Canis lupus familiaris: one gene and its partners. The protein of the gene in region 4 interacts with the protein of the main gene of each other region in a biochemical or structural test. Links are inferred from orthologs where the notes say so. Each region holds a gene or a part of one and is shown on either strand. Other genes may lie near its edges.

The links.
Region 1: the proteins of CUL3 (region 4) and DCUN1D4 form a complex in vitro, tested with the Homo sapiens proteins (2 studies listed by BioGRID, with this or other methods). The link is inferred for Canis lupus familiaris from reciprocal best matches to the Homo sapiens genes CUL3 and DCUN1D4.
Region 2: the proteins of CUL3 (region 4) and DCUN1D3 form a complex in vitro, tested with the Homo sapiens proteins (3 studies listed by BioGRID, with this or other methods). The link is inferred for Canis lupus familiaris from reciprocal best matches to the Homo sapiens genes CUL3 and DCUN1D3.
Region 3: the proteins of CUL3 (region 4) and KLHL20 form a complex in vitro, tested with the Homo sapiens proteins (2 studies listed by BioGRID and IntAct). The link is inferred for Canis lupus familiaris from reciprocal best matches to the Homo sapiens genes CUL3 and KLHL20.
Region 5: the proteins of CUL3 (region 4) and DCUN1D5 form a complex in vitro, tested with the Homo sapiens proteins (2 studies listed by BioGRID, with this or other methods). The link is inferred for Canis lupus familiaris from reciprocal best matches to the Homo sapiens genes CUL3 and DCUN1D5.
Region 6: the proteins of CUL3 (region 4) and UBE2M form a complex in vitro, tested with the Homo sapiens proteins (2 studies listed by BioGRID, with this or other methods). The link is inferred for Canis lupus familiaris from reciprocal best matches to the Homo sapiens genes CUL3 and UBE2M.
Region 7: the proteins of CUL3 (region 4) and PEF1 form a complex in vitro, tested with the Homo sapiens proteins (2 studies listed by BioGRID). The link is inferred for Canis lupus familiaris from reciprocal best matches to the Homo sapiens genes CUL3 and PEF1.

What each region holds. Positions count from the first base shown.
Region 1 is NC_049234.1:45,539,960-45,543,691, forward strand, and holds part of DCUN1D4 (DCN1-like protein 4), read left to right. Parts: coding exon of another isoform or gene 1-54; exon of another isoform or gene 55-86; intron 87-517; coding exon of another isoform or gene 518-537; exon of another isoform or gene 538-574; intron 575-621; exon of another isoform or gene 622-646; intron 647-2,802; coding exon 2,803-2,917; intron 2,918-3,732. UniProt on the Homo sapiens protein: Contributes to the neddylation of all cullins by transferring NEDD8 from N-terminally acetylated NEDD8-conjugating E2s enzyme to different cullin C-terminal domain-RBX complexes which are necessary for the activation of cullin-RING E3 ubiquitin ligases (CRLs).
Region 2 is NC_049227.1:24,694,761-24,699,081, forward strand, and holds the start of DCUN1D3 (DCN1-like protein 3), read left to right. Parts: upstream 1-1,399; 5' UTR 1,400-1,489; coding exon of another isoform or gene 1,490-1,655; exon of another isoform or gene 1,656-1,797; intron 1,798-2,009; exon of another isoform or gene 2,010-2,201; intron 2,202-2,331; exon of another isoform or gene 2,332-2,499; intron 2,500-4,321. Other genes in the region: LYRM1 (LYR motif-containing protein 1), read right to left, coding at 1,538-1,655. UniProt on the Homo sapiens protein: Contributes to the neddylation of all cullins by transferring NEDD8 from N-terminally acetylated NEDD8-conjugating E2s enzyme to different cullin C-terminal domain-RBX complexes and may play a role in the cell cycle progression by regulating the SCF ubiquitin E3 ligase complex, after UV damage.
Region 3 is NC_049228.1:25,329,377-25,333,108, forward strand, and holds part of KLHL20 (kelch-like protein 20), read right to left. Parts: intron 3,584-3,732; coding exon 3,375-3,583; intron 1,667-3,374; coding exon 1,560-1,666; intron 1-1,559. UniProt on the Homo sapiens protein: Substrate-specific adapter of a BCR (BTB-CUL3-RBX1) E3 ubiquitin-protein ligase complex involved in interferon response and anterograde Golgi to endosome transport.
Region 4 is NC_049246.1:38,009,113-38,013,640, forward strand, and holds the start of CUL3 (cullin-3), read right to left. Parts: upstream 2,998-4,528; 5' UTR 2,983-2,997; coding exon 2,911-2,982; exon of another isoform or gene 2,742-2,910; intron 2,731-2,741; exon of another isoform or gene 2,710-2,730; intron 1-2,709. UniProt on the Homo sapiens protein: Core component of multiple cullin-RING-based BCR (BTB-CUL3-RBX1) E3 ubiquitin-protein ligase complexes which mediate the ubiquitination and subsequent proteasomal degradation of target proteins.
Region 5 is NC_049226.1:28,886,664-28,890,395, reverse strand, and holds part of DCUN1D5 (DCN1-like protein 5), read right to left. Parts: intron 2,311-3,732; coding exon 2,240-2,310; intron 1,833-2,239; coding exon 1,741-1,832; intron 1-1,740. UniProt on the Homo sapiens protein: Contributes to the neddylation of all cullins by transferring NEDD8 from N-terminally acetylated NEDD8-conjugating E2s enzyme to different cullin C-terminal domain-RBX complexes which is necessary for the activation of cullin-RING E3 ubiquitin ligases (CRLs).
Region 6 is NC_049222.1:100,126,105-100,130,263, forward strand, and holds the start of UBE2M (NEDD8-conjugating enzyme Ubc12), read left to right. Parts: upstream 1-1,317; 5' UTR 1,318-1,864; coding exon 1,865-1,973; intron 1,974-3,165; coding exon 3,166-3,260; intron 3,261-3,392; coding exon 3,393-3,431; intron 3,432-3,541; coding exon 3,542-3,645; intron 3,646-3,904; coding exon 3,905-3,968; intron 3,969-4,054; coding exon 4,055-4,159.
Region 7 is NC_049223.1:68,860,887-68,865,245, reverse strand, and holds the start of PEF1 (peflin), read right to left. Parts: upstream 2,852-4,359; 5' UTR 2,726-2,851; coding exon 2,702-2,725; intron 2,176-2,701; exon of another isoform or gene 1,885-2,175; intron 1-1,884. UniProt on the Homo sapiens protein: Calcium-binding protein that acts as an adapter that bridges unrelated proteins or stabilizes weak protein-protein complexes in response to calcium.

The DNA of each region.
Region 1 (3,732 bases), on a different chromosome or scaffold from region 4:
TGGCTAATACTCCACGAGGTGTATGCACCGCATCTTTATCCATTCGTCCGTTGACGGCCGCTTAGGTTGCTTCCTTATCAGCTGTTGTAAGTAAAGTCGAACACACGTAGAAATGCAAATATTATTTCCCAGTTCGTGTTTTTGTCCTCCTTGGGTTTACTGGATCATCGGGTATCACCAGTTTCCATTTTTTTTTTTTGAGGCACCCCTGTACGGTCTTCCAGGGTGGCTGCACCAGTTTGGGCTCCCGCCCGTGGTGCGCGAGGGCTCCCGGGTCCCACGTCCTCGCCGGCACCTGGTCTCCTCGTGGACAGCGGGGGGGTGGTGGTGGGGGCCTGCCGGCTGGGGGCCCTGCTGCTGCATCGTGCACACCCCACCCCGCAGCATCCAGGGACAAGAATTTTTTTTTTTTTTTTTTTTTTTTTTGCAAAAGCTTGAGTCACTCTGACACTCTTTGGACCGTTTTGTATGCTTTAGGGTTGTTTATAAACAGGCCCATTTTTCTTTTTTTTTAAAGATTTATTTATTTATCCATGAGAGACAGAGAGAGAGGCAGAGACACAGGCAGAGGGAGAAGCAGGCTCCACGCAGGGATCCCGACGTGGGACTCAATCCCGGGACCCCAGGATCACGCTCTGGGCCGAAGGCAGGTGCTAAACCGCTGAGCCCCCCAGGGGTCCCCTGAATAGGACTGTTTTGCAGGGAAGATGGGGCGCATGTGGTGTGGGCAGTGCTTCCCCCCCTTCCTCTCCCGGTCACTCCTGCCGCCGTGGGGCTGCGGGTGCCTTGGGCCTGTGTCTCCCATCCTCGGCAGGATGGGGCCTGGTGGGGACCTGGAGAGGGGCGGCCGAGGGTCGCTTCTGTGCTGAGGGGGGAGGCGGGACGGTGGCGGCACAGGCTCCATCACGCGGTGCAGGACACCTGCCCAGGTCGGGCTCTGGCCCTGGTCTGTGGCCCGAAAGGTGCGGCTGCACATTCCTGGCTCCTGAAGTTCGTCGGTCACCCCGGGCACCCGATGGTGGCCCTTCCCGGGGTCCTGACCGTGAGCTACTGACTGTGCCGTCCCCGGCCTCGGAGCAGACTTCCAGAAGGGCCGTCGGGGCATGGGCCTCAGGCCTCTGCTCCTGCTCCGTCACCATCTGTTGCCGCTCGCCGCCCTCCCCAGCCTTCCTCTCCCGGCTCTCGGCCCGGCAGCATGGGGATGCCACCACCGTGGGGTCCGGCCTGGCCCTGGCCGCACCCTGCCTCCCCCCTGCCCCATCCCCAGCGTTGGTCCTCACGCAGGGCTTGGCGCCCAAGCTCTTATCGGGTGTTTGTCTCCGTAAAACTCCTGAGCGGGGGACACATCAGTGGTGGAGGGCGCGACCCCGGGGTCCCGGGATCGAGTCCCACTTCGGGCTCCCCGCGGGGAGCCTGCTCACCTCTGCCTGGGTCTCGGCCTCTCTCTGTGTGTGTCTCATGAGTAAATAAATAAAAGCTTACAAAAAAAAACCCTGAGAAGGAGGTATCCCAGTTCTTACTCTTTAAATGATGAACTAGACCCGGTCGGTGACTGACCAAGCCCCCTAGTTGGGTGAAGGGCTAGAGCTGATGCATTGAATGCGGATCGTTCAGACACCAGCACCCTTTTGCTCTCTCGTCCTCTGACTCCCTGAGAGCCCAGGGCCTTCCGGGAACGGGCTGCTGGAAGGAGGAGAGAGACGGGGGTCCAGAATTCGTCCCTAGACACTTTTGGGGCCTTTGGAAAATCACTTGGATGCCCAGGCTTTGGTTTTCCCCATCTGTCCCGTACAGATAATTATCCCTGTCCTGCCTGGCTTTCGGGGTTATTGTGGGACCCAAATGGCATATGTGATAACGCCTGTGCCAGGATGGGCACATTTTAATGATCTTATAATTGTTTCGTAATTTGTAAGGGTTTTAGACCGTCGGAAGCAGGGACTACCTGGGTTTGAATTAAAGTTTTGCCTAACCTCTCCCTGCCCTGCCCCTATTCTCTGATCGGCATAGGCAGTCCCAATACTTCTCTTTTCATAAGCCTGGTAGGAGGTTAACAAGTGACGACATGGTATAAGTGTTGGGAATGGGCCTGGCTCCCAGGGAGGTCTCTGTAAGTGCTCCTTGCTGGGATTGTCGGTTGTTACTACACGTGAACATCTTTCACCCAATGAAAGTCATGCTTCTGAAAATCCTGGCGGAAAGTGGCAGAAATGGATGAAAAATTATTATGGAAATTTTGTTCAAGATCATAGCAGACTGCTGTGCAAAAAAATCTAAATCCTGTTTTTCTTTTTGTTGTTGTTTTTTGTTTTTTAAGATCAGATATCTCTCGAAACTTAGAGAAGAGTATTGGGGCTGATGTGCTTGTTTGTATTTTAGAGTCAAGGTGACTGGCTGACCTGGCCTTGCCTGATGACATACACAAAGGAGATAGCGGTGCGGTTCCTTTGGAAGGAACATTGCCACGTAAAAGACACTGGAAGCTCTGATGATTTATATTAGTGTTTTTGGAGAGTAAATGGAAATTGTGATTACTTCCGTTTCTCATGTGGTTTTAGTGGGGGGAGTATTGACTTGTGTCGTTGCAAGGTTTATTTCTTGACTGTAACATTTTCTCAAAGAGGAACTAAACCCCCCCTTTTTTTTTTTTTTTTTTTTTTTTACCTTAGAACATTTACGGAGACCATCTAACCCCTTAACACTACAGGCCATGAACATTTTTTAATTTGGCGGGTGGGATGCTCTGGGAATGCTGGGCTGTGGCTAACCCTGCCGTTGTGCCCCATGGCTCTCTGTCCCCAGGAAGCCTGCGGTCTTGCAGCTCTTCAGACTGCTTTAGTAAAGTGATGCCGCCGAGGAAAAAGAGGAGACCTGCCTCCGGAGATGACTTATCCGCCAAGAAAAGTAGACACGATGGGTATGTCGCAGAGACAGTAGATCAAACTCGGTGACGTGTATCAAAGAATTTGAATTAACATTTTCAAAGTGTAGTTACCTTGTGATGTTTCTTTTACGTGTGGGTTTATAAAACAAAAACCAAATTAGGTAAGTCGAGTTCTTAGAAATTGAAGTTTTCTCTCAGTCCGTTGATCCACCAAAACTGGTGTAGAGTTTCTTTCTTTCCTTTTAAGGGCTTGTCGTCTGTGCCTGTTGAGGACCACCGGGTCGGTACGTATCTGTTCTCTACGAGGGTCTCACTTACCACACACAACCACAGGGCCGAGTGCTTGCTTCCGCAGGGGACCTGGGCCGAGAGGCTGGGGAGCACTGCGGCAGCTGGAAGCTCTCAGTCTGCTTGGAGTGTTAGCCGAGCAGAGCTTGAGGCTCAGATGAGTGAGACTTTGCTAGAAACGGTGAAAAAGGAGACTGTGTAAACCACTTCTCTTTCAGACAAGGGAACTGCTTAATTTTGGTGACTCTAAAAGTCATTTGACTTATTTATTTTAGGTATCTTTATTAGATCACCTTGATTTTCATGAGTCATTTTTTCTCTTCTCTCTCTCTTTCTCTCTCTCTCTTTTTTTTTTTTTTTTAAGACAATAAACAGACATCGTAACTTCAATCTTTTCTGCCTTTTTTCCATTTTCCTCCATTCTGGCTCTGTAGGTTACCTCACTAATGGGCCTGAATATTCACATCTAAAAATCAAAGGGATGAGATAAGATTTTTCTGTTTCTTTCTTGCTGTGATACCTAATCTGCCCCAGCTAGGTTGGAAGGATAAGATGGACTC
Region 2 (4,321 bases), on a different chromosome or scaffold from region 4:
GAAGTCCATGGCTGCTATCTTATGAATAGTGTTCCTACCTAGCCATAACTACACAGTGGGCCCTATGGGCAAAGCTCTGTACCAGGAGCCAGAAGGACGCAAAGAAGAAATAGCCCGTGGGGGAGTCAGACATATGAACAATTAACAAGCAAAGTCAGCCTTGCTGTAATGGACACAAATCACCTGCGCACAAGTCCAAAAGCACTGACAGCTGGGGTTGGAAGGGAAGGAAGAGATTTGAGCCAGGGCTTAGAGGATGAATAGAAGCTGGATAGTGGGTGGATGAGTCTCACTGATTATGAGAGTCTCATTATTGCGGGATATTAAGGGAGCCTTCTTTTATCTCTGAGGCCTTATCTGTGTCAAGGGTCTCCTTTCAATTGTTTTCCCCTTAGGAGTCATCCTTGGTCCCTCCTCCTCCCGTACACTTCACTACCCAATCCAGCAGCAAGTCTTGCAAGCTCTATTTCCAAAATGCATTCCGAATTTAATAATCTGCATTTCCACTGCCACTACCCATCTCTCCCTGGGCCTGGGGCAGCAGCCTCCTAACAGGTCTGACAACTTTCTACCCTACTCTAGCCAGCAGCCGAGTGATTTTTTTTTTTTTTTTAATGTAAATCAGGTCACTCCCCTTCTCAAAACCCTCAGGTAACACAACAGCCAAACCTTAACCTTGGGCATTTAGCTGTGCATGATCAGGCCCTCCCACTTCTCCATCACAGACCACTCCAGCCCGTGTTCTTTCAGTTCCAGCCACCTGGCTTTCCCGCCGTTTCCCTCCTCAGGACCCTTCCTGTTGGCTCTCTTCTCCATCTAGAAAAGTCCACTCCCTAGCTTCTCTCCTTTCACGCATCTCCGTGGAACTCTGGCCTTATCTGAAAAGCCTCACCCCACCTGGAGTGGCCTTCCTCCCACCTCCTACCGCTTCACACCCCGTATTATGGTCTTAGGGGGGCATGTCGTACTTGCTGATATCTCCTTACTGACTGACATTTTAACTTTCTCCCGGACTCCAATAAACAGTCACGGAGCAAGGCCTCCGTCTCGTTCTCGTTCGCGGACCGAAGCCGTTTAAGAAGCAGGTTCTCACTACCGTCCTAGGAAGCCTCCGTGGCCTCTACGGGACCTCGTTTGGGTCAACCTTCCCCAGCTTGACGCCTCTCGCCCCCGGAATTGCCCCTACTGATCTCACATTTACATTCGGGGATCCAAAGGATTCAGGAAAAGTCTCTGTTGGGCCCCAAACCGGCATCTCAGCTGTTCGCCAAACAGGCCTCCGCTTCCTGGCCCTCGGGCCGCTTCCCCCGGCGGGGTCCCGAGGCCGGTGGCGAGGACAGAGAGCCGCCCTCGCGAGGCTGGGGTCACACAAGCGCGTCTCCTAGCAACGTCGCACCCCCGCCCCCAGCCCATCCCTGCCCCTGGGGAGTCAACCCCTTCCCCCAAGTCTCCCGCGCCAGGAGTCAGCGTCTCCATCCCCTACACTCACTCTGCGTCAGGCCTGCCTTCCCCCACCCACAGAAGCGCCGCAGCCTACCGCGGGCTAGGAGGAGGCGGCGCCGGGAGCCTTGCTGAGCCGCGGCCGACGCTGGTCGGGCAGGTCCGGTAGGCCAGGCCGGACTAAACCACCGGGGGGGGGCCCTCCGTGGAACCATTAGTTCCAGGTCAGGGATGGTCTCAAGTCTCCCTGAAACTTCATACTCTAGCCCACCCTCCGCCGTATACCCAACAGTATAGCCAACTTCATCGTCTCCCTAGTTTCTCTTTACCCCTTTTCGCTATCCTCCCCCACCCCCACTCTAGCCAAAAAATGATCCAGTCCAACTCCTCCCAGCCCTCCCTCCGCGTCGCTAGTTCTTTGCCCTTACTTGGCGACGGCTTCGTACGTCCGTGCGTACGTCGTGACGCAATCTTCCACCCGTTCCTCCCCGCCCCTCTTCTATTCTCTCCCTCCCGGAGCGGGCGGCCTGCGGGGTTACCGGAAGTGATGATGCAGGAGGCGATGGAGGGGGCGGGGCTTGGGGGCGGCCGCCGCCGGTGGGCCGCAGATGAAGAGGAGGCGGCGGCAGTGGTGGAAGAAGAGGCGGCGGCGGCGCGGGTAGGGATCCTGGAAACGCGAGCGGGGATGGTAGGTGGTTTGGACCCGCCGGGCCGCCGTCGTTTCCAGAAAGGGTTTGACTGGAGGAACCTCTGGAGCAGCTGTGAGTTTTGGGGGGGGGTTAAGGAAAAGCGGGGAGCATTGAGAGATGAAGGGGCGGGGGTTGGGTACCTTCGAGAAAAGGGGGTGGAAGGGGAGGAGTGGAAATCAGCGCCTTGTCTGGACTGGTCCTTTTGGAAGAAGAGGCTGTGAGGGGAGCCTGTGGCGTGTCAGCTGCAGGGCGCAAGAAAACTTGCCTACTGTCCCTGCCTCGCCACCGCCAGCACCCCTCAACCCAGGCCTGGGGATCTGGGGGCTGGAACAGCCCTGGAGAGGGTGTCGACTCTGGTCCTATGGCCCGGGTAAGCTCTGTGAGGTAGGAGTCCAAGCGGGAGGTGGTGGGTGAATCTCCGGCTCCCTCCTCCCTCATTTTCCTCCCCACCCCCATCCTTCCCTTTAATCATTAACAGCCCTGGAATTAAGGGGCTCAGACCTGAAGGCCTTTCTGTGCACCTTTGCTATAAACGATAACCATCTGTGCCTGAGGTAATGGGGCTGGAAGCTTTGCCTGTATCCTGTGTAGGAAGTGGGACGGGGTGACAATGTATTGTTTTTTATTTTTTTCCATTCCCCTTTCCCCCTTATCTTTCCTCATATACACCCCTCGTTTCCACCTCAGTTCTCTGTGGCTACGTGGTAATCCTGGTGTTTTTTTTTTTTTTTTTCTTTTCCTTTATGGCACTTGGTACCTTGGTTACCTCTTTTGAATTTGGTGTTCAGCCTCTCCCAGATCTTCCTGCAAGCTTTGTAATACTTCAGTTACAGGCTATGTCACATTGGGAGTACCTCTCAATGCCTGGTAGCTCCAAATTAAGATGAGCATTTTCTCCTATGAATACTGGGATTCCAAAGCCCTTGCAAGGATTCCTAAATGGCATCATAGCCCAGGAATCAAAGTCTCTTGTTCTAAATACTTTGTGTGTGAGGAATTTACATGTTGTCAACTCTTTCCAAAATGATTTGATGTTAGGCTAATTCTGGATTTCTGTGTTTCTCTCCACCCACACTTCATGATGCACTTCAGAGAACAGAAAACCCCATATTACTTTTTTGTTTCTGCAATTGGACAATAGCTCTTTTATCTTTTTCTCTATTCACACAAGTCTTCAGTGACACTTTTGGCTTGTGCTGATTTCTGTCTTATGCTCTCATTTATTTAGCTGATTCTTTGTGTATAGACGGACTTAAATGAGAAAATGTGATTTGTTTAAAAAAAAAAGTACAAACCAATAACAAAAATTATTTGAAGAAAGCAGAGAATGACTGGAAAGAAGATCTCTATTGATGTTCTGTGGGTTTCAAAAAAAAAAAAAAGTCACCAAGTAGTCCTCTTTTAGCTTGTTGTAGGAATTTCAGAGTGAAATGTAATGGTTCCTATTTTGATGTTGATATTTTCTTTGGTAGTCCTCTGTTGAATGCGGAACTGTGTTTTCTGAAGAGCTTTAAGAAATAGTGCCTACATTTTAGAGGTCCTTTGGTTAGAAAGTGTCCATAACTCCTGGGCCTCTATAACTGAATTTATGATGCGTATTGCTAGAAGAATTATAACGGATCCCATCCTACTCATCAGGGCTTTCAGGCCTGATAAAACGATGTTTAATGCTTTGATTATACAAGTAACAACATCATGTTTAGATGTTTCACAGAACTGTAACAAAAGAAAAGAATGAGTACTATTCTCACCTTAATTGATTTGGAACCATTGAATATAAAGTCAAAAATTCATTCATTCAACAAGCATTATTGATTAGCTAGTAAGAGCTAGCCAGTATTTTGGGCTGTGGTTGACAAAGGTGAATGCAGGCATAAGGTCTGAACTCTTATGGCGCTTATACTGTAGTGTGTGGGGCAGAATAAATAAGCGAATCAGACTTTGCTAAGTGCTGAAGTACAGGGATATGACAAAACATGTCTAATCGGGATGCAGTCAAAGAAGACCTTTTTAAGGAGGTGACCCTTAAGTTGAGCTTTGAATAAAAAGAAGCCGGACATGCAGATATATGGGAGGAGCCTTCCAGGTTCCTGGGACTAGCTAGTGCAGAAACTGGCAGGAATGACTCTGGCAAGTTCTAGGGCTTGGGAAGAAAGGGGTGAGGTGGAGGAGGGGGAGGGTAGAGAGGTGAG
Region 3 (3,732 bases), on a different chromosome or scaffold from region 4:
GGACATCCTCACACCTCTCTGCTCTTTACCACAGTACTTCTATCCCTGACGTGGTACTGTTAGTCTCCTTCCTAGAATGTCCGATCAAGGAGGGCAGGGGATTTAGTTTTTGTTCACTGTGGTATCTCTGATGTCTAGAACACTTAGTAAATCTTTACTTAGTGAACAAGGTTGTGAAAATGTAATCTAGTAGAAGCCAAAAGTGTCCAATGTCTGACTTCTAGTCTGACTTTAGTATTGTGACTTGGTAGTCATACAGAGCCATGAGCCAAAGGCAGAATCCAAAGAACACCATTTAAACATCTGTAAAAGTGTGGCTTTCCCAGACATGAAGACTGTATTTTTTTTAAAGATTGTATTATTAGAGAGAGAGAGAGAGAGAGAGCATGAGCCAGGGAAGGGGGGTGGTAAAGAGGGGAGAGACTCCCCACCAAGTGTGGAGCCTGACATGGAGGCTTAATCCCAGGACCCCAAGATCATGACCTGGGCCAGCCAGCCAGGTCAGGTGCCTCCACTTATTTATTTTTAGAGATTTCTTTATTTGATATATATATATATATAAACAGCATGAGCATGGAGAGGGAGTACTGGGGGAGGGAAAAGCAGACTCCCCACTGAGCAGGGAGCCCAAGGCATAGCTCGATCCCAGGACCCTGAGATCATGACCTGAGCAAAGGCAGATGCTTGACTGACAGAGCCATCCAGGTGCCTCAGTTTTTGAATACTTAAATGCATGAGTAACATGATTTATGTGAATTTATAAGAACCACTTAAGCACTTAGGAAAGATTTGTTAAGATTGTTAAGACAAGAATTTAAAAGCAAAGTAAAATTAAACCTATAAATATAGTTTAACATAGTTAAGCCTCTTAAATGAGAGGTAGATTTCTTCCTAGAAGTGACTGTTAAAATTTAGTAGACTTTTTTTCTCTTTCTTTAGGTAGGCTCCCTGCCCAGCATGGAGCCCAATGAGGAGCTTGAACTCACAACCCTGAGATCAAGACCTGAGCTGAGACCAAGCAAGAATAGGATGCTTAACCAACTTGGACTTTAAAAGAGAAAATAATATATTTAAATACATTTTAAAAACTCAAGGAAAACAATGATTTTAAAATGAAATAAACTATTATTAAAAAAAAAAGTATCTACAATTTTTTTTCCTGTGCATAAAGCTGCCACTAAGAACATCATAAATTGTGACAGATTAGAAGCAAGAAATCTAAGTTCTAATTCTATGACTAACTTGCTTCATTTTATTTCTCAGTGCCTTACTTTCCTCAGCTGAACATGATGAGGCTAGAAAGGAAATTATTTTTTTCTGCTTGCCATCTCTATTATAAAACTGAACAGTTACCAAAGAGAAGATGTAAAATGTCAGCCACTTTAGAGCAAAGAATTCAAAATAAGCCATCAAATATGGGTAACTTGGAGCTCTCTTACGAGTATTGCAAAAGCACTTCTCAATGTATGACCATCCCAATTTTTAAGGTCATGGGCTACCTTATTCCCATGATTTTCAAGTCAGCAGTGAGGTGATCTGCAATGTAGCTTAAAGGTTACCTCCATGTATTGGCGTCAGGATCAAAAACTTCAATGGTCTTCAAGTACGTTGTGCCATCAAAGCCTCCTACAGCCATGAGCTGTCCGTTCACTACTGCAAGGCCAACCTACAGGACCAAAACACAGTGGCCACTGAAGAAGCCAGAGGATCACTGGGAAAATTTTAACTAGTTTCTAGATAAATCTTTTTAATAAAAGATAATTCTTTATGACTTTACATTCTGGCTTACTTGAAAACAGAGGAAAAAAAGTAATGACAAAAATCTATTATATGTGGGAACAATAAAATTATATATTCAATCAGAATATTTATAAAGTTCAAAACATAAATTTCTAAATTTTTGGAAAAGCATCACTGGGAGCCGACAAGAACTTCCAAACTGCTCTCACTTCTTTTGGTATTTGCCTATTCTAACCCACTATCTAAAACTGCCACTAAAATTCTGTTTAAAATACAAACCTAACCATGCTGTCACTTCCCTCTAAAAAATTGCTAAGCCTCCCTACCACCTATGGGTAAGTTTAAAGTCCTTTCTAGGTCATTCAGGCCCTCCACAAATCCATCCTAGGCCATGTTTTAGCCTCACCTCCTTATGTACCCTATGCTGCAAGAATACAGATTTAACTGCTCTTCCCAGAAAATACCATGTTTTTCTGATATTGGAATAATACCATATTAGGATTATACTAGTAATACCTCCATACTTTTGCACATGTTGGTCCCTGGTTTTCTTTCCCTCTTCTAGAAAATCTTAGTTTTCTTTCACGGCCTAGCTTACATCTGACTTTTTCTGGTAAGTTTCTTCACTGCCCCCAAATACATTAAGCATATCCTCCCATGTTCTCTTACAATGCACATGCAACCGTTTCTTTTTTGTTTTTATCATTTTCTGTAAACATTTCCATTTCCTCCACTAACTTGGGAGCTCCTTGCGGAGTTGTACTCACTTTTGCTTTCCAAGCACACAGTAAGAACTTCATAAATATTTGCTAAATAATACGAATGTAGCAGTGAAAACAACAGGAATGTGACCTAGAAGCTGTTCATCACCAGTAATAGCAAACCATAGATATGGGAATGTTTTGACTTGCTGATGCCTATCAGTGATATTCTCTGATTTGTGCACACCAAAATTGATTCCTTTTTATCCTCAGATAATGGAGTCTTTTAGCTACTGCTGCATTCTCCCACCTGTTGTTCTACATCAATGGATTCCTGACACAATCAGTGGTTTATGGGTTACATTTCACTACAAACCAAATGTCCTAGGATGGATGAATGCTATACTCCACCCTAGAAGTCTCTTGTGGTCACAAGTCATCCACGGTCTAGAACATGACATAGGTCAGCCTGGCCAGGTCTAAACTACAGATGGGACAGACCCATACCAGTTTGTGAAGACTGGTGGTGGGGCCAGATGTGTTTCTGCCTAAACATCTGTATTGGTGTGCCAACTACTTAGAATATTACCTAGGAACATTAGTTCAGAACATTTAGCTCTAATTGAGAGGGATGAATATGGGTGAAGTTAGATAAGGTAGTGGAAAGATAATGTTTTTCAGGGAAACAATCAATGAAAGATAAATCACAAAAAATAATTCTATTATTAAAGATATGATTGAATAGAAGGTATTTAAGTACTTGAGATAACAGCAATTATAAGAAATTAATTTTTTCCAGTACAAAAGTAGCTAGGGGTTGTTTTGCCTAAACAGTGCATCTCCTTACTGTACCAGTATTTTAAGATCAGAGCTCTCCTGCATAGCCCTCTCTTGTTGTTCTTTTCCCAAAGTTTTCAGTAGCTGGGCACTTACTCCACTACGGCGGGATGTCATAGCCACCACGGGAGACCACTGGTTAGTTCTGGGGTTGTATCTCTCAGCGCTGCTCAGCTCTGTAGTATCATCTCTACCTCCTACGGCATAGATCATGTCCTGATACACTGCACAGCCTAGATGTTTCCTCCGGGTCCCCATAGGAGCTATGGTGTGCCATCTGTTTTCCTGAGGATTGTAGCGCTCCACTGCAGGGGGAAAAAAAACCAGTAAGTGACCATTCAGCCATTTCTTCTAACTAGTTTTCCTAATAGCCATTAAAACTTTGTGATAATACATATTTTCAATACACAATCTGATTTTTGCTTATGAGGACTTGTGTACCTTTGGATAATAC
Region 4 (4,528 bases):
TCTAAAGCTGAAAACATACTAACAGCTACAACATAACTGGATGTCCTGAAACTACTAAACAAATCAGTCTAAGTGTAAACAACGCTTTAACGAATCTTTTATAACTTACTCCATAGTTTCTGTATGCTAGAGAATGGTAAGTAAATATAGTTAATTCCCCACCCTGTTTGATTTCCAGGACTATTATTCAGACTATTATTCAGCTTTCCTGTATATAGTCCAGGTAATCCTAGGCAACTGTTACTTTCTCTAAGGAAATCTATTATGAAGATCAAAGCTGTTTTTTCCCAAATCTAGCAAATTTTACCACAGCTAGGAAAAACAAAATTAAGTGTCCCCAATTACCATTAAACTCTTGTGTTCTTAAGTACATCACAAATGATCTTAAAATTCATCTCCTTCTATTGTCATCCACTCTGTGGTTTCCCTCTAACAATAACCTCTACATGACTCACTGTCCATGCTACACAGGTAGAGCTCCAAGAAGCCAATCTAGGATTATGGAGTGGACATCACAACCAGAGATTCTTCATCATGACTATGCTCTATAATAACTGAAACCACTTCCAGATCACACACTTCTAAAGACCATCACTTTCATAATATGACTTCTAAACTCTGAAGGCTAAGTCAAGAAGGGACTATCAGAAGAGAGAGGAGCATTTTCATTCAAATATATCCCCTCCAATCCAATCAAGTTTTTTCAAGCCCATGTGGACAAAACCCATGTGGAAAGTACAGATGGAGAGGAATGGCTTTTCGAAGATAAAGGACAAAAGGTTCACCTGACAGCAACTAATTCTACATAGCAGAACAAAAGAAAAGCTCAGGAGTGAGACATTCAACAACAGCAAGGAAAGAAGAGCAGAAACTTCTTGGGGCAGCACTCTGATCCAAATCCATATAGCTTCCAAGAGTTTCGCAACTACAGCTTCCTTCCTTAAAAAAAAAATTTTGCCCCTTGCTGTTAATTTTGGGTACCAAAAAAAAAAAGTGAAATGACATATTTTGTGCAGTGTAGGAAAGCTTTCAGGCTGGGATAAACTTTAACTCCATCAACAATTTATGAATCCATAAAGTCCTCACTGTTTTCCATCTTAAAAAAGAACTAATTTCTCTTAAAATCTTACGAAAAGTTCTACTTAAAATGCAAATTGTAGATAAAACTGTGGTATGGCATAACTTACTCTTGGGAACAATAATGAAGGAACACTTAAAATATGTACTCAAAACACTAAAAGAACCTGATTTTACTGATGGGTCTGTATCTGGAATATGCTTACACATCTTATAGAATAGCCTGTGAGTTCACTTACCACTCTGTTTTGCAATGAAAACAAAACAATCTCAAAACATATTTTTACACTTTTTACACGTCGATTTTATAAAACAGAATCCTGAAATGAGCACCTGAGACCTTTGGTTAAACTATAATTTTCTTAAACTACAGTACCTACAATGCATGTCCAAAGATTAATACAAAATACTATATAGCTATAAATATTGTACATCTGTACCACATACAAACGCTATTTTTTCTTTATGGAACAGTATGCATTTACTACTAGAAGACTGCTAACCTGTAAGAAAAGAGAAATTTTGAAGGTCTATAAGGACTCATTTACCAAAGGGTAAGTCGGTGAAATATCATACCACTGAGGCATTTATCCAAGAAACTGTAACTTAGAAGTTTATAAATCAAAAAAAAATCTAGGTTCTTTTCAGTAGAAAGTTGTTACGAATATTATAAATCATGAAACATTGAAAAACTATGCTTTTAAAAATTAGCAGGTACTAAACTACTGAGTATCAAACAGTAGTCATTTATAAACTTCAATAAAGAATATTAGAAAATCTTAGATGGCAACAAGTTGTGGACAGAAAAGATCCAAATTAGCTCACAATCATTAACACACACACACAAAAAAAAAAATCAGTTTCAGGACTATGTGCTAACCTATCATATACTATACTCTTTTGCTAAAGGAATCATGAAATTCTTTCCTGCCTCTCCCAATAATAAATACAACATCCAGAAAGAAGGGATCTTTAGTCTTCAAGCTGTATTGACTTACTCCAAGCTCCTAGAACAGTGCCTGGCACACAGTACTCAGTCTTCATTAAACGAATGAGGGAATGAAGACCAGGTAGGAAGAGGTAAACCTAAATGGACGAAAAAGCTAATCACGCTTAAAGGTACAACTGGTTAATCGCAATATTAACAAAAGTGAGTTCATGTCAAATGTGAGCTATGCCGCATTATAGTAGTAAGTTTGAGTTAGAAGAACTCAGACTTCAAGAATAGCAAATTTTTCCTAGAAAACTTGTTATACAGAAAACTATTTGAAACTCTTAATAATTCGAAATCCTGCTAAACATGTTCACAACTGCTTTAGTAGCAAAACTAACATTACTCAAAAATTCCTAAGCCCAGCTCACTTCACTGTTAAGAGAAAACATGCTGACAGACTTCATTAGTTCTCTTCTGCATTAGTGTCTTCCCTCACTGCAAATCACACTTCAGAAAAAAGCAAGCCTTCCCACAGTGAATACAAACCCCACCTTTTCCCCCTTCCCAAAATATGACGTGTGTAGGATTCTAAGACATTCAAGATCTTTCCCCAGTTTTACTGTTGTTTTTTTTTTTTAAAAAAACAAAAAAAACAAAACCTTCCGTTCGACTGCTGGTTTGCCTTTCTTGACATATACCTGTTACCGTAGCGACGTGAGGCAAGAACGTCCAGTTTCTGTTACAACAGTACACTTTAATTGCTTGCCATGGGCTATCTGAATCAGGTATGGCATCCCAAGTTACACTCTCTACACTAAATAATGCCAGCGTATGACTCAACGTAACGCTAAAAAAGAAAGTTTCTAAACAGAGCAGCCTTTGCTGTCGCTGAAACCCACAGCGTAGAGCAACTCGGGGCAGTGACGACCCCCTCCTGCTGGGCTTCCACGGCTAAGATCTGGAGAGGCCATTGTCCAGCGTGTGTTCTCTGGCTTCCCCTTGACCCTCCTACAAGTGGCGAGGCCAATTCCTGCACAAGAAGAGTTTGTAAAGTGCTTTTGGACGCCTGTGGATGAAAGAGGCTATAAATACAGCTGACGAGGTTAGGTGCGTGCGTTACTACCGAGCAGTGCAAGGAGCCACGGTCACTGCGTCGGGGGGCGGGTAGGTGGGCGGCCAGCCCCCTTCCTGCGGAGGCACAGGACAGCCCCCTCCACCCCCCGAAAGGTCTGGCGGGCCCTGGTTGAGGCCGGGTTATTTTTGAGACCGCACGTGAAAAGTTCCACACACGCCCCCCCACACACGGAAGACTTCCACAGTCCCCGTCCCCGCGGGTGTGGTGGTCCCGGGGCGCCGGCAGGGAGGGGAGCACCGGGGGCCGGGCCTACCCCCCGGGAACGTGGGAAGGGGCCGGCCCAGGGGCCCCCGCCGCAGCCGCAGCAGCCGCCGCCCGCCCGCCCGCCGCCGCCGGCCCGAGGCTCCCGGGCGGGTGCGCGGCGCCGGCCTGAGGCGCCGGGGCCCCCGAGCCGCCCGCCCCGTGGCCGGGAAGGCTCGCGCCCCGCGGCCGGCGGCGTGGGGGAGGGGAGGCCGGGCCTGCGGCCTGTTGGGGGAGTTCAGCCCGGGCCTCGCGTGCGGCTCTCCGCCGGGCCCCCCGGCCCCGGGGTCCCAGGCGCCGAGGAGAGACTCACCGGAAAGGCCCGGATCCGCATCTTGGTGTCCTTCCGGCTGCCCGTGCCTTTGCTCAGATTCGACATGGTGCTCGTCCCCTCCCCGGCGGCGGCTTCGGGTCGCACTCCGAGGCGCCGGTGTCACATTTAAGGCGGGCGGGCCGGCGAGGGGCTGCGCTGGGGGGCGGCGGCGGCGGCGGCGGCGGCGGCGCGGCCCCCGGGCTGGGCTGGGGAGCGGGCCGGCCCCTGGGCGGCCGCGGCGGCTCGGGCTCCGGCGGCTCGGGCTCGGGCTCGGGCTCGGGCTCGGGCTCGGGCTCGGGCTGCGGCGGGGCTGGGCTGGGGGGGCTGCGCTGGCGCGGCGCCTCCGCGGGGTCCCCCTCACGCCCGGCTCGGCTCCCTTTATCGCGCTCCTCCGCGATGGCGGCGGCGGCGGCGACGGACAAACATCTCACTGCGCAGGCCGAACGTCCTCCTCCTCCTTCTCCTCCTCCGCCTCGACGAGACGAGATCCGGCCCAGAGGGTGGAGGGGGGAGGAGGGAGGGAGGAGAGCCGGAGAGTGGAGAGATCGGGGGGAGGGGGTGGGAGGACGGGAGGGGGAGGCGGGCGGCCGCGGCGGCGGGGCGGGGCGGGGACGCCGAGATCTCGCGAGACGAGGGCGAGCGCGCTGCCCCGGGTGGGGCGGGGCGAAGCCTGAGAGCGGGCGGGGTCCGCGGGAGGGGAGGAGGGGAGCGGGGAGTTGGGGGAGTGGGCGTGGCCAGCGGGGCGGGGAGGTTGGGTGAGGGGCGGGGCTGAAGGCGGGAGGAGAAAGCTGCCTTTTTGAAAGGGGAGCGACGGCGGCGCGGAGGTGGT
Region 5 (3,732 bases), on a different chromosome or scaffold from region 4:
TTAGGTCATGATCCCAGGATCCTGGGATGAGCTCCACGTGGGGCTGCCCACTAGGCAGGAAGCCTGCTTCTCCCTTTCCCTCCCCCTCCTGCCTGCTGCTCCCCCTGCTTGTGCACACGCTGTCAAATAAATAAATAAAATCTTAAAAAAAAAAAAAATTCACACACACTTGTTAGCTGGGATGTTCAAAAAAGCAGTATACAAAAAATTCAGCAGCAGTACAAAAAAGCAATTATAGTGCCAAATAAAATGTCTTACAATGAATAAGCCATGTTACAACAGATATAAATTTTAATAAAACGTACAAAGCTGTATATGAACTAGTTTATATTCTTTGCATACTTGTCTGTACATTTTATCATTCTCTAAAAAGCTAACTGAGGGTTGGATATTTCCAAAGAATTTCAGAATCAATATCATTTTAATCTGGTATATTATGACACCTAGATGAATGACAGAATTCAAGCCTGGTTAGGCTATAAATACTATGATTCAAAAAGTTAATAATAGTCCTTTATTTTATAAAGATTGCTAACATATATAAAGAAAAATAACAGGAAGTACAGTATGCTAGACTGGTAATCTGGAAATATAAATTCTATGTCCTAGCTCAGCCACTAAATAGCTATGTGAACCTGGGTAAACATTTTCTTCACCTATCTGAGTCTGACCCCTTCTCTCACCTATAAAAAATGACTGAAATGACAGGGTTGATTTTATGTTCTATTCTAGAAATTATAATTTGGCTCATATAAGCAAAAGTTTTTATGTGAATCTATTTAAAATATCTATTATGTTAATTCTGGTTAAAAAGGAGAATTACAAAGCATTACATGCTGAAAATTCAAATATAAAAATTCAAGTTCCATATGAACAGATGCACTTAAAAGAATATCTTGAGGTATTCTGAAATGTAAGGACATGCAAACAAGTAGTAAAGAATAGCTAAATGTGTTAATAAAAGCATAACCACAACAGGAAACCACATGGCTAATTGACCCCCAGGTTTCAGCTCAAAAGTATTATAAATTAATGCTTCCTCTATTTTAGAATCTTGGTAATTAGTAACATCCTGCATGAACATTAGGAACATAATTTAAAAATAATACATAATTACTAACTGATTCTGAAACTAAGCACACTTTACTATGCAAAGTAAAAATCAAATTATTTTTGTAAAGGAGCAATTCTGTAACTTATCAGAGTTTCAAAGGCAGCATCTGAAAGTATTAACTAGAACATGGCTAAGGGTTGCAGGGCTGCCATACAACCTTTCTGCTTTTGTTCTTCATAAGATTCATTTGGCAAAAAAGAAATAAAAAAGAAGTGCCATGTAACTCTATCTTCAAATACCTTTTCAAAATGAAGCATAAAATTGAAGAGAAGAGGCCCCAGAGCTTAGGTCTGCCCAAAGAACAAACTCCTTACACAGCAGAACTCTGTATTCAGAGAAAGAAATCATTTGCTCAATCTGTGAACAAATCACTTTGATCACAGACCTCTAATTCACTCAAGTCAATAATCTTTGTAAGACTGTACAAAGATTATTCAAGATTATGAAAAATGGGGTAACTATTCATTCTGCCAAGACCACAATATAAATTTTGTCAATCCCTAACTGTTATAGATCAAACCAATTTGATTAAGGTGAAACCTTACTCCTAAAAATTACGAAGCACAAAATATCAATTAAGATCTTCAAATAGGCCATCAAATTTGTTTTTTAAAAAAATGTCTTACTGTAATGAAGTCATCCCTTTTAACCATTCTTCCTTGGTAAAAAATCCCATGCTTTCAGCCTCCAATTTCCACGCTAAAACTAACATAATAATCTGGAAAGAACAGAACATAAAGGATAGGGGAAAAGTCAGCAGAGATAATCATGTCTGTATTTATCATGGAGAGCATTTTTATACAACTATTTCCATCTTCCAACTATTAAAGAGTACAACCTCTGGCATTATTAACTCTAAAGAAATTTAGATGGGCCAATTTCTTAAAAGTATAAAGCTCTAAGTTTCTGAAGGTAGAATCTCTCTCACTCTATTACAAATAACATTTGTATCAAGAAAGAGAACATGTGCCCAACTTAAATTGGTTACAAATACTGAAAATGACAATTTACAGTATTAAACATGAAGAAACAAAATTCTGATATAAGATTAAAGTGTCTCGATTTTTAGAAATATGTAAATATGCTATACCCCACTTATACTCCATTCTTAGAAATAAAACATACATTTTCAGGTTCAACACCAATGTCTTCACAAAATTTTTCCATTCCTTCTGGCCCTACAACTTCATCAGGACCTTCAAAGACAAAAATAATTTACATATTTTATTGTTATATTAATATCAACATAAAACATAAGCTATTGCACTAAAGGCATCTATGAACACACCATAAAAATTTTTTAAATAACTAAATCTGAATTTTGACACATTTTTTATAAAGGTATAAATATTTGATATATGACTTAAAATGTAAAATTTCTGAAATATTCTTTACACACTTTACAAAATGAAATTAAGGGAAAAAAATGAAGTAGCATTCATATCAGTCACTTGTTTGTACAGTAACTTGAACCCATCCTTTAAAAAAAAAAAAAACATTTACGGAGAGCCTTCTCTGAAGAAAATTTTTGGCAATGCATAAATACAAAGAACCACGAGAAATTTTACTAGAATGTGTACGAACAGCCCACAATTCAAGACAGTAATCAGAGAATACTCGTTTTCTTGCTAAAACATAAGGTCATTTATTACCCTTGTGAATACAACCAAATAAAATTTAATACTTTAAAAAGATACAAATATTTTGAAAATAAATAACTCAGAGAAATTACTATTTCCCTTGTCACCTTGGATCTAAAATAGATAGTAAAGCATTAGATATTCCACCTTAATACAGAAACAGAAGTTTATTATTATTTTCTTAAAATATTTTATTTATTTATTCATGACAGACACAGAGAGGGAGAGAGAGGCAGAGACACAGGCAGAGGGAGAAGCAGGCTCCATTCAGGGAGCCCGATGTGGGACTTAATCCCGGGTATCCAGGATCACACCCTGGGCTGAAGGCGGTGCTAAACCGCTGGGCTGCCCAGAAACAGAAGTTTAATCCCTCAATTAGCTTGTCCAAAAATTAGTGATACTTATCTTGTTTCTTATTTTTCTCCCTTAACACTAAATATAAGTCAATACACCAATTCTCATATTTTATGTTATCAGATTCCCAAAAGACAGTAATTACATCATTGCTAGGTCCCTTTCCTAACTCGGTAAGATTACAACAAATTTGAGACACCATGAATGGACTCTGAGAGCATTCTGCTAAGCTAAAAAAGTCAGTGGCAAGTAACATACAATTGTAACGTATATGTGGAATATACAAACAAACATGCAAGAAAACCCAAGCTCTTAAATACAGAGAACAGACTGGTGGTTGCCAGAGGCAGGGATGGGGAGTAGGAAAAAATGGGTGAAGGGTGGTCATAAGGTACAAACTTCTAGTTATAAAATATATAAATCCTGGGATGTAATGTACCACATGATGACCACAGTTAATAATACTGTATCGTTGTATTTTAAAGTTGCTAAGAGAGTAGATCTTAAAAGTTTTATCACAAGAAAAAAATGTGTAACTATGTATTTTAATAGAAGTTTCATAACTAATGTCATATCTCACTTGAAAAAAAAAAAGACTGAAACTGGTGGCCAAGTCGGTGGGCG
Region 6 (4,159 bases), on a different chromosome or scaffold from region 4:
TGAGTCCCAGTTCTCATCCTGGGACCTCTCTAGCACTTAACTCTCAAAGGAGTCAAGAAAGGATGCTGGAAATGCAAGGCTAGAATAACAGGACAACCAGAAGAATGAAAGGAGTGTGGGAGATGGTGGCATTGTGAATGGAAGGGCCTAAAGAGGTAGCAGTTGCAGAGACACGGCTGCGATCAGTCCGTGGAGCCCAGGGACCTCAGTGGTACCCGAAGACCCACAGGGTAGGGCCTCTAAGGAGGCTAGGGCCAGCCCAAGATACGAAAAGGTGGAGGTGACTTCCTGAAGCGAGGATACGTGTCGAGATGGACGCCAGGTCGGGTCTGAGGAGGCGCAGGGCATGGAACGGCCACTCCCCCGAGGGGAGGACTGCGAGCCTGGGCAGAGGTCGACGGCTGAGAGGACCCCGTGAGCACCCCTGCCCAGCCCCAGCGCTGGCTCAACCGGACCGCCAAAACTACTTGTTCCACAACGCTCCAGGTGATGACGGCAGGTGGCCTCAGAGACAGACGGGGACGTACAGCGGGAGCCGCACTGGGTCGCAGAGGTGCTGAGAGACTGAGCACCGGCCGCACCCACCCACTGAGCGCGGTGCCGCGCTGCACACCCGCCCGACCGTTTCCATGGCGACAGCCGGACGTCATAGAACCGCCCCACGCCGCGTCCTCCCGCCCTCCGAGGCACGCTGAGCTGTGTGCGATCGTTGTGGAGGCTGGCCACACAGCGGAAGATCGCAAAGCGTGTCCGCTGGGTCTCGGGACCTGCTCCGAGAGGGTCCCCGCCCCACGTCCCATCTAGTGTCCACCCATGTAATCTCCCAAAGTGCTTACCACTAGCACAATACGCGTTTTATTTACTAGTTTACCTCATCCAGAATCTCCGCGAGCCAGTTGCTTTTGCGATGGGACATCGAGGTTGCTCGACCCCGCACTCTCTGAGTAAAGGCTATGGCCTCTCCGGGCTCTGGCCCGCCGTGATCACCTTGCCTCTGTGACCTCCAGGGGCAAGGACCTCATGTGACCCACCCCCACCACAATCTGCAAGGGTGGGCTGCCTACGAAGTGACCATCAACTGCCCTACTTAAAGATGGCGGTGGCACCGCCATTGACTGGACCCGCGAGCGTCCCCGGAAATGACCGCGGGACAGGCGGCACAAACGGAAATACCCGAGTCCAGCCGAAAAAGTCCGAATATTAAGACCTATTGCTGAGCAACGCGGGGCGGGGGTGGCGGCGGCCGTGGCGGCGGCGGCGGCAGCGGCGGCGGCCGCGGCGGCCGCGGCGGCTGCTGCTTCTGCGCAGGCGCATAGCGCAGGCCGGGCGAGAAGAGCCGAAGAGTGCAAGCGGCGGAAATATCCGAAGCGGTGGGGCGCCCGAGGCCGTTGCGGACCTCTGCGCCGAAGCCGCTGCTGCCGCGGAAGCCGAGCCTTTCTAGTACACGGCAGCCGCCACCGCGGCCGCCGCCTCCTCCTTCCCCTCGAGCCGCAGCCCCTCGCGGTGGGAGCAAGTGAACAGACAAGCGGCGCGGCCGCAGCTGGGCCTGAGGGGACCTAAGCTGGCGAGGGGGAGGAGGAAGCGGCTGGCTGGGGGCGGGGCCGAGCGGGCCCGAGAATAGCCGAGTCGGCCCGAGCGCCGCCGAGCGAGCCCGAGGCGCCGGGCCAGGCCAGAGCCGGACTACGGGAGCCGACGCGGGCCGCGCGGTGGGCGCGGAGCGGCGCGGCAGGCCGGGCGGGCGGCAGCAGCAGCGGAGGAGGCCGCGAAGGCGGGTTCGAGTGGCGGAGGCGGCGCAGGCGGCGGCAGGGGGCCGGGTGGCCGGGGTCCCGGGCCCCGCAGCGGCGGCAGCGGCGGCGGCGGCAGGATGATCAAGCTGTTCTCGCTGAAGCAGCAGAAGAAGGAGGAGGAGTCGGCGGGCGGCACCAAGGGCAGCAGCAAGAAGGCGTCGGCTGCGCAGCTGCGGATCCAGAAGGGTAGGGGGTCGGGGGATGGGGGTGGGGGTCGGAAGTCAGCGGCTGGGATGGGGTGATGTAGGAGTCTGGAGTGAGTTAATGCAGTCACCGGGGGGTCAGAGATGTCAGAGATGTGGCCGCAAATGTGGAGGTAGGAGGTTAGGGCCTGGGTTTCGGTGTGATGGGGGATCAGGGGTGAGTAATGCAGTCACCGAGGGGTCAGAGATGGGGGGCCGAATGTGGGGCACTTACAAGACTCGGAAAGCCAGGCATCTTGCATTGGGGACCAAGAATCAGAGAGTCAGGCAATGGAAGGCGAGTAGGAACCTGGGGACTCCACAGAGTATGAGAACATGGGTGATAGGCAGAGGAGATTGGATAGTGGGGGCCAAGGATTGGAGATAGGAGTAGGAGAGGATTTAGTGAAGTATATTGGGGTCATTGGGAATCAGAGTGAGATGGAGTGAAGTAAGTTTTGGGCACTGCGATTTGTGGGTCTGGGGGGGTCACATGGCAATTTGGGGTTTGGGGTGACACGTGGAGGAGGGAAGAACAGTGTGTGCTGGGGACTGGAGATGGGGGTAGGGTTAATTTAGACTAACATGCTGGGTGCTGGGAATCTTAGAGGCAATGTTTAGAGGGGGTACAGGAATGGGAATTCACATGTCTGAGGGTTGGATGGGTACCTGAATTTAGGATGACAAGCAGAGGAGAGGAGGGATGGTGGGGACGGCATTGGTTAGGGGCAGGGTCCTTGGATTTGGGTGGTCAGGTGGGGACCAGCAGTGTCTACTAGAAAATGGAGGTCATGGCCGGGGATCCTGGTGTTTGGGGTAGTTGTAGGCTCTTGGGGGGCCACACAGGGGTGGGAGTATTTGGGGGCTGGGGGGTTGGGTACGCAGCTGCTGGACGCTGAGACTTTAGGCTGTGGATTCGGAAGAGTTGGAACTTATCCCGGGCCGGGAGCTAGAGCATAACCACAGTTTACAATTCATGTTTGAGTTGTGCTGTGGATCTAGAAGAGCCTGCCTGGAGACTAGAAAGCAGAAAGAGTAGGGAGAGGGTTGGGGGTGTGGGGCACAGCCCAGGACAGAGCCCTGAGGGTCCTGGAGGAGGCCATGGGTGCTCTCCTGGCACCTGCACCTCCGAATGCCCTTGTCTTTCCATCTCCCTTTCCCTCTCATCGTTCCCCTTCTTTGCTATGCAAACCCAGACATAAACGAGCTAAACCTGCCCAAGACGTGTGACATCAGCTTCTCAGATCCAGACGATCTCCTCAACTTCAAGCTGGTTATCTGTCCTGATGAGGTAAGGGTACACTTAGTTGGACTCTGAGGCATGGGCCAAGGGGTCTGGGAGAGCACTTTGAGTTGGGAGACTTAGTTTACCTGCCAGGCGCTGCAGGATGATGTCCTAACACTTTCTTCTTTCTCTTTGCAGGGCTTCTACAAGAGTGGGAAGTTTGTATTCAGTTTTAAGGTGAGTCCCAGGTGGGCAGGGATACCTCCGTGGCTGAGGAGGCAACAGCTGAGGCCCCAGCCAGGCACTGCTGGGGCACTTTTCTATCTTCTCTCCCTTCTTGGAGCCAGGTGGGCCAGGGTTACCCACATGACCCCCCCAAGGTGAAGTGTGAGACGATGGTCTATCACCCCAACATTGACCTTGAGGGCAATGTCTGCCTCAACATCCTCAGGTGAGGGCTGTGACTTTGGATTGCACAAGTCTCTGTCCCTTCCTTCCCTATTGTGGTCTGTGGTCCTCTGTCTTCATCTCCATGTTTTCTTCCTCAAGTCTTGACCTTAGCTTTCTCCCTGGCCTGTCCTGCTGTGCGCCCTCCTCCTAGCCTCTCACATCTGCACTGTCCCGTGCCCTGGAGCTGACTTGTTCAGTCCCAGCAGGCTCTGTGTTGGCCATCCACTCACCAGCCCCTGACCTTGATTCTCCCTCCACAGAGAGGACTGGAAGCCAGTCCTTACGATAAACTCCATAATTTATGGCCTGCAGTATCTCTTCTTGGTGAGTAGGGGTAGGTGGGGAAGGCTGGGGAAGGTTGGCCCTTTCTGCTTTAAGGGCCTGTTGACCCCCACCTATACCGGCCACAGGAGCCCAACCCCGAAGACCCACTGAACAAGGAGGCCGCCGAGGTCCTGCAGAACAACCGGCGGCTGTTTGAGCAGAATGTGCAGCGCTCCATGCGGGGTGGCTAT
Region 7 (4,359 bases), on a different chromosome or scaffold from region 4:
TAAATAAATAAATAAATAAATAAATAACAAATAAAACCACCAGGTATTTTGTTGGAATACCTTGGACCAGGAGTTGGACAGGTGGACAGGGTATGATGGGGGGGATAAAAGCATTTCTTCTATTCTAGACACTGTTCTCTCCATGCTCTTTTTCAGAATTTCACTCTGAGCAGAAGCCCAGGCCATGTGGCCTAACAGTGATCCCAGCAGCAAGAGCCACCACCAGGCACTGGCACACACTTGGTATCAGCACAGTGCCAAGCTCACTGCAAGCTTTATCACAGTTTGTCTTCATTTCAGCCCTATGAAGTATTATTCCTCCCTTCTTAAAGGTGAGCAAACTGATGGTCAGAGCCCTTAGATGGTTTGTCCAAGGGCATATAACTATTAAGTGCTAGAATTAGGATTCTAGCCCAGTTGTATCCAACCTGGAAGCTTAGGCTCTTAATTTCCATGTTACTGCCTCTAAGATGCTTACAAAATACCTCCAGAAACTTATTAAGATGTAGATTCCTGGGCCCTTCCTGGGTATGGAATAGGTCTGAGGTAGAACCCAAAAGTGTGCCTTTTTATTTTATTTTATTTTATTTTATTTGAGAGAAAGAGAAAGAGAGAGAGAGAGAGAAAGGAGAGAGCATAGCAGGCAGGTACAGAGGGGAAGGGAGAGAGAATCCCAAGCAATCTCTGTGCAGAGTGCAGAACCTGATGCAGGGCTCAATCTCACAACCCTGAGATCATGACCTGAGCTGACACCAGGTCAGATGCTCAGTTGACTGTGTCACCCAGGTATCCCCAAAGGTGTGCTTTCTAAACAAACTTCCTGGTGATTCTGACACAGACCATCCACTAAAAAACAACGCACCATAGCAATGTTTTCCCAAACTGTGTTCCCCCAAGATAGTAGCTGTACCAAAAAATGACCAGAAATTTTTTAAAAAGGGGAGTTGGGAGTGGGAGGTAGTTCCACAGTTAAATAAGTTTAAAAATACTGCATATTCTATCCCTCAATGGCAGATTTACAAAAGCATATTGACAAATTAAGAATTCTGAGATGCCCCGTGTTGAACAAACTTATTCACGGAGTATTTCATGGAGTATCTCCCAAACTTATTTAACCACAGAATCCTCCTCTATTAGCAATACCTATTAACATTTCGTAAGACCCAACCAATGGAATGGAGCTTTGGAAGCCCTGCTAGATTATACTTCCTCTTAACATCAGCTTTTTTTTTCTACCTCTGCTAAAAATGCAACGAAAAGGAGCAAGCCACTTAACCTCTTTGGGCTCCTTCCTCAGCAATAACCTTGGGACAATAATCTCTGCTAGCATGCTTACAGGACCTTCATCACTGAGATTAAAAAGGTTCAAATACTGTGTACAAAAGCCATACAGGGCTGTACTCCCTCACCTCTCTTTTGGCATGGGACTATACTCAGTTGATCGCTAATATCCCATATAATTTTATTTTCCAATTTTCCCTGCATGGGTTTTTAAATATTTAATTTATTTATTCATGAGAGACACAGAGAGGCAGAGACCCAGGCAGAGAGAGAAGCAGGCCCCATGCAGGGAGCCCGACCTGGGACTCAATCCCAGGTCTCCAGGATCACACCCTGAGCCAAAGGCAGACAGACGTTCAACCACTGAGCCACCCAGGCATCCCCCCTGCATGGGTTTTACCTCCTAAATTAGTATGATCTTGGGCAACTCAGGAGCCTCTCTGGGCTTCAGTTTCTTAAAATAAAGGGACTATTTTGAGGACCCTCCTGGCACTGACCTAGGAGTCTTAAAAAAAAAAAAAAATCCAAATACTAAAATACTGTTAGACTCTTAGAAGTACCAAATGCTTTACAAGCATGACAGCTTGCTATTCACGACAGCTCTCTCAAGTAGACCCTATTTATTGGGCCCTATTTTATGGACGGGGAAACAGGCTCACAGAAGCAAAATACCTTGCTTAACGGCTCCTAACTATTTAAGAGGTGGGGCCAAGGGGTGAACCTGCTGACTCCAGGCTGAACTTAACCACTCTACCGATCCGTCATCCAACAGAGGCTTCTGGTCACAGAATCCCCTGGCTGTGGTGCTCTTGGCTGGATCGAAATGGGCTGGGGAGGGGGTAAGAGGCCTGTGCCGACAGCTTCCGGGTTCCGCTGCCCGCCCGGGGGCCTCGGGTAAGTTCTGCGTCTTCTCTGGGTTTCACTGTTCCCATGCATGAAACGGAGGGGTCAGCCTAAACGAGCAAGGTCACTCGTGGGACCCGCAGAAGCGGGTCAATCAAGATTCTCCCGATTCTTCGCACGCAGTACGTCAGGGGTGTATTTTTATCCGACGCCCCGAACGTGGCAGGCGCAACCAGTTGTCTCAGTTCTGCTGGCGCGGGTGAGCCCGTCGGCAGCCCCCCGGGAGCCCCGAGGAGGTAATCAGAGCCTCGCCTGATTACGTGGGGTCCAAGGTCCCCAAATCCTCACGGGCGCGACGTCAGAGGGGGCGCGACGCAACCTCCCAGACCCGCAGTCCTGCGTGACGTGAGACAGGCGCGACCGAGCAGCCTTTCGCCTTCCCTGGCGCGCGAGACCTCGCCGACGCCGGCCTCCGCGTAGGAAGGGCGCGGAGAACGCCCGGACAAGGCGAGGCGGCGCCTGGGCCTGGACTCGGCGAAGCCCCTACCTGGAATCGCCCGCCCCCCCGCACACTCACCTGCCCGTACGGGTAGCTGGCCATGGCGACTCGACGTCACACGTCGGCGAGGGGCGGGGCTTCCCGGCCCTAAGCCTGCCCCGCCCGGGCCGGGGGTGGGCCCGCTTGTGATTGGGTGGCCGCCGCCGTCAATCCTGGACGCCGGGACCGACGGAAGTGACGTTCTAGGGCGGTGGTCGGGTGCCTGGGGAGAGGCCGGGGTGCTAAGGAAGGCGTGAGGGTTTCCGGAAACCCTGCCAGCCTGCGGGCGGGGCCGTTCTTCCCTTTCCTGCCCTGGCGTGGGCTCCGGGGCTGCTCAGGCCCGGGTATTCAGCGAGAAACTGGAGTCGGGTGTTGCGGCGGTGGCCATGTTTTAACCTGGCAAATGGGGCGCCTGGTAGCGGGTGCCTTGCAGTCGTCACGGGAAGTTTCCGCCCGCGCCCGCCGGAGGAGGGCCCGGGCGGTTGCCGTGACGACCGGAACAGACAGAGGCCTCCTGGACAGGGGGGAGGCAACGGCGGGAGTACCTCGCTCTAATGTCAGGACACCACGTGCCAGTTAGTAGCTTTGGAGTGAGACCCGTGGTCTTTGGGGAGGAAAACCCCCGGCCACCAGAGTGGGAGGAAAATTAGATCATCTGGGCTCTCTTCGTAAAACAGCGATACTGTGGTCCGGAGAGGCAGCGACTTGCCCTGGTTCACAGTGGGCGGGGGCAGAGGTGGCCTAGAGCTGCTGTCAGTGGTTACCGGGTTCTCAGCGGGGAGGTCTGGACTGTTCCCCCAAGTCAGTCCAGTTCTGTCACTGAGTGACCACGTAGAGTCATGTACTTGCTTGCTCGTGGTTCAGGCTCTGCACTTGTTTGCATGCTTACTTGACTAAGGGGTTAAGCTCTTACACGTGGGCATAGGTATGTGGTTTTTCTTGTCCTATCCCATGTACCTAGGAGAGTGCCTGGCACGGTTTTGTTTTGTTTTGTTTTTTTTAATCGATAAGTGAATAAGGTGTTACGAGGTGTTATCCATTCCAGACCATCTATCTATCTATCTAGCCAGGCACTTTCCAAAATCACTGTGCTCATCATGCTACCTGCTGGCTGGACAGAGGCTACAACGACTCCATCTGCACCTACAAAAAAGGCCCAACGTCTTCATTCTGGCCCTCGAGACCTTTCACATATGACCCAACTTCACCTTGGCATTTGGTATTGTTACTGTGCTATATTCCAGCCAGCCTCATGTAAGGGTTCTCTTTGTTATTTTCCTCAAAACGTATTCCCCTCTTTTATCCCAGAAAATTCACCCAGTCTCTCAGGCCAAAACCTAAGACTGTTCTAGTGTGGCCTCTGTCTCTCCAAATGTTTTCCCACCTCCATTTGCTCGACTTCAAAAGTAGACCCACATCTGCTCTTTTCTCCCTGTTTGCGCTATCACTGTAGTCCAAGACTCTGTCATGTGTGGCCTGGATCATTGCAGTAGCCTCCCAATCAATGTCCCTGCTTTTGTTCTTTCTCCTATTTTCTTCATGGAGCAGCCAAAATGCTTGTCTTAAATGTAGATTGGGTCATGTCATTCCTGGGTTTACTTTCCTTCCCATAACTCTTAAATAAAATCTAAACTCAGCCTTCTGACCTTCATGGCCTTGCCTGTATCTCCAGCCTCACTTCCTGTCCCTGCTGTCCC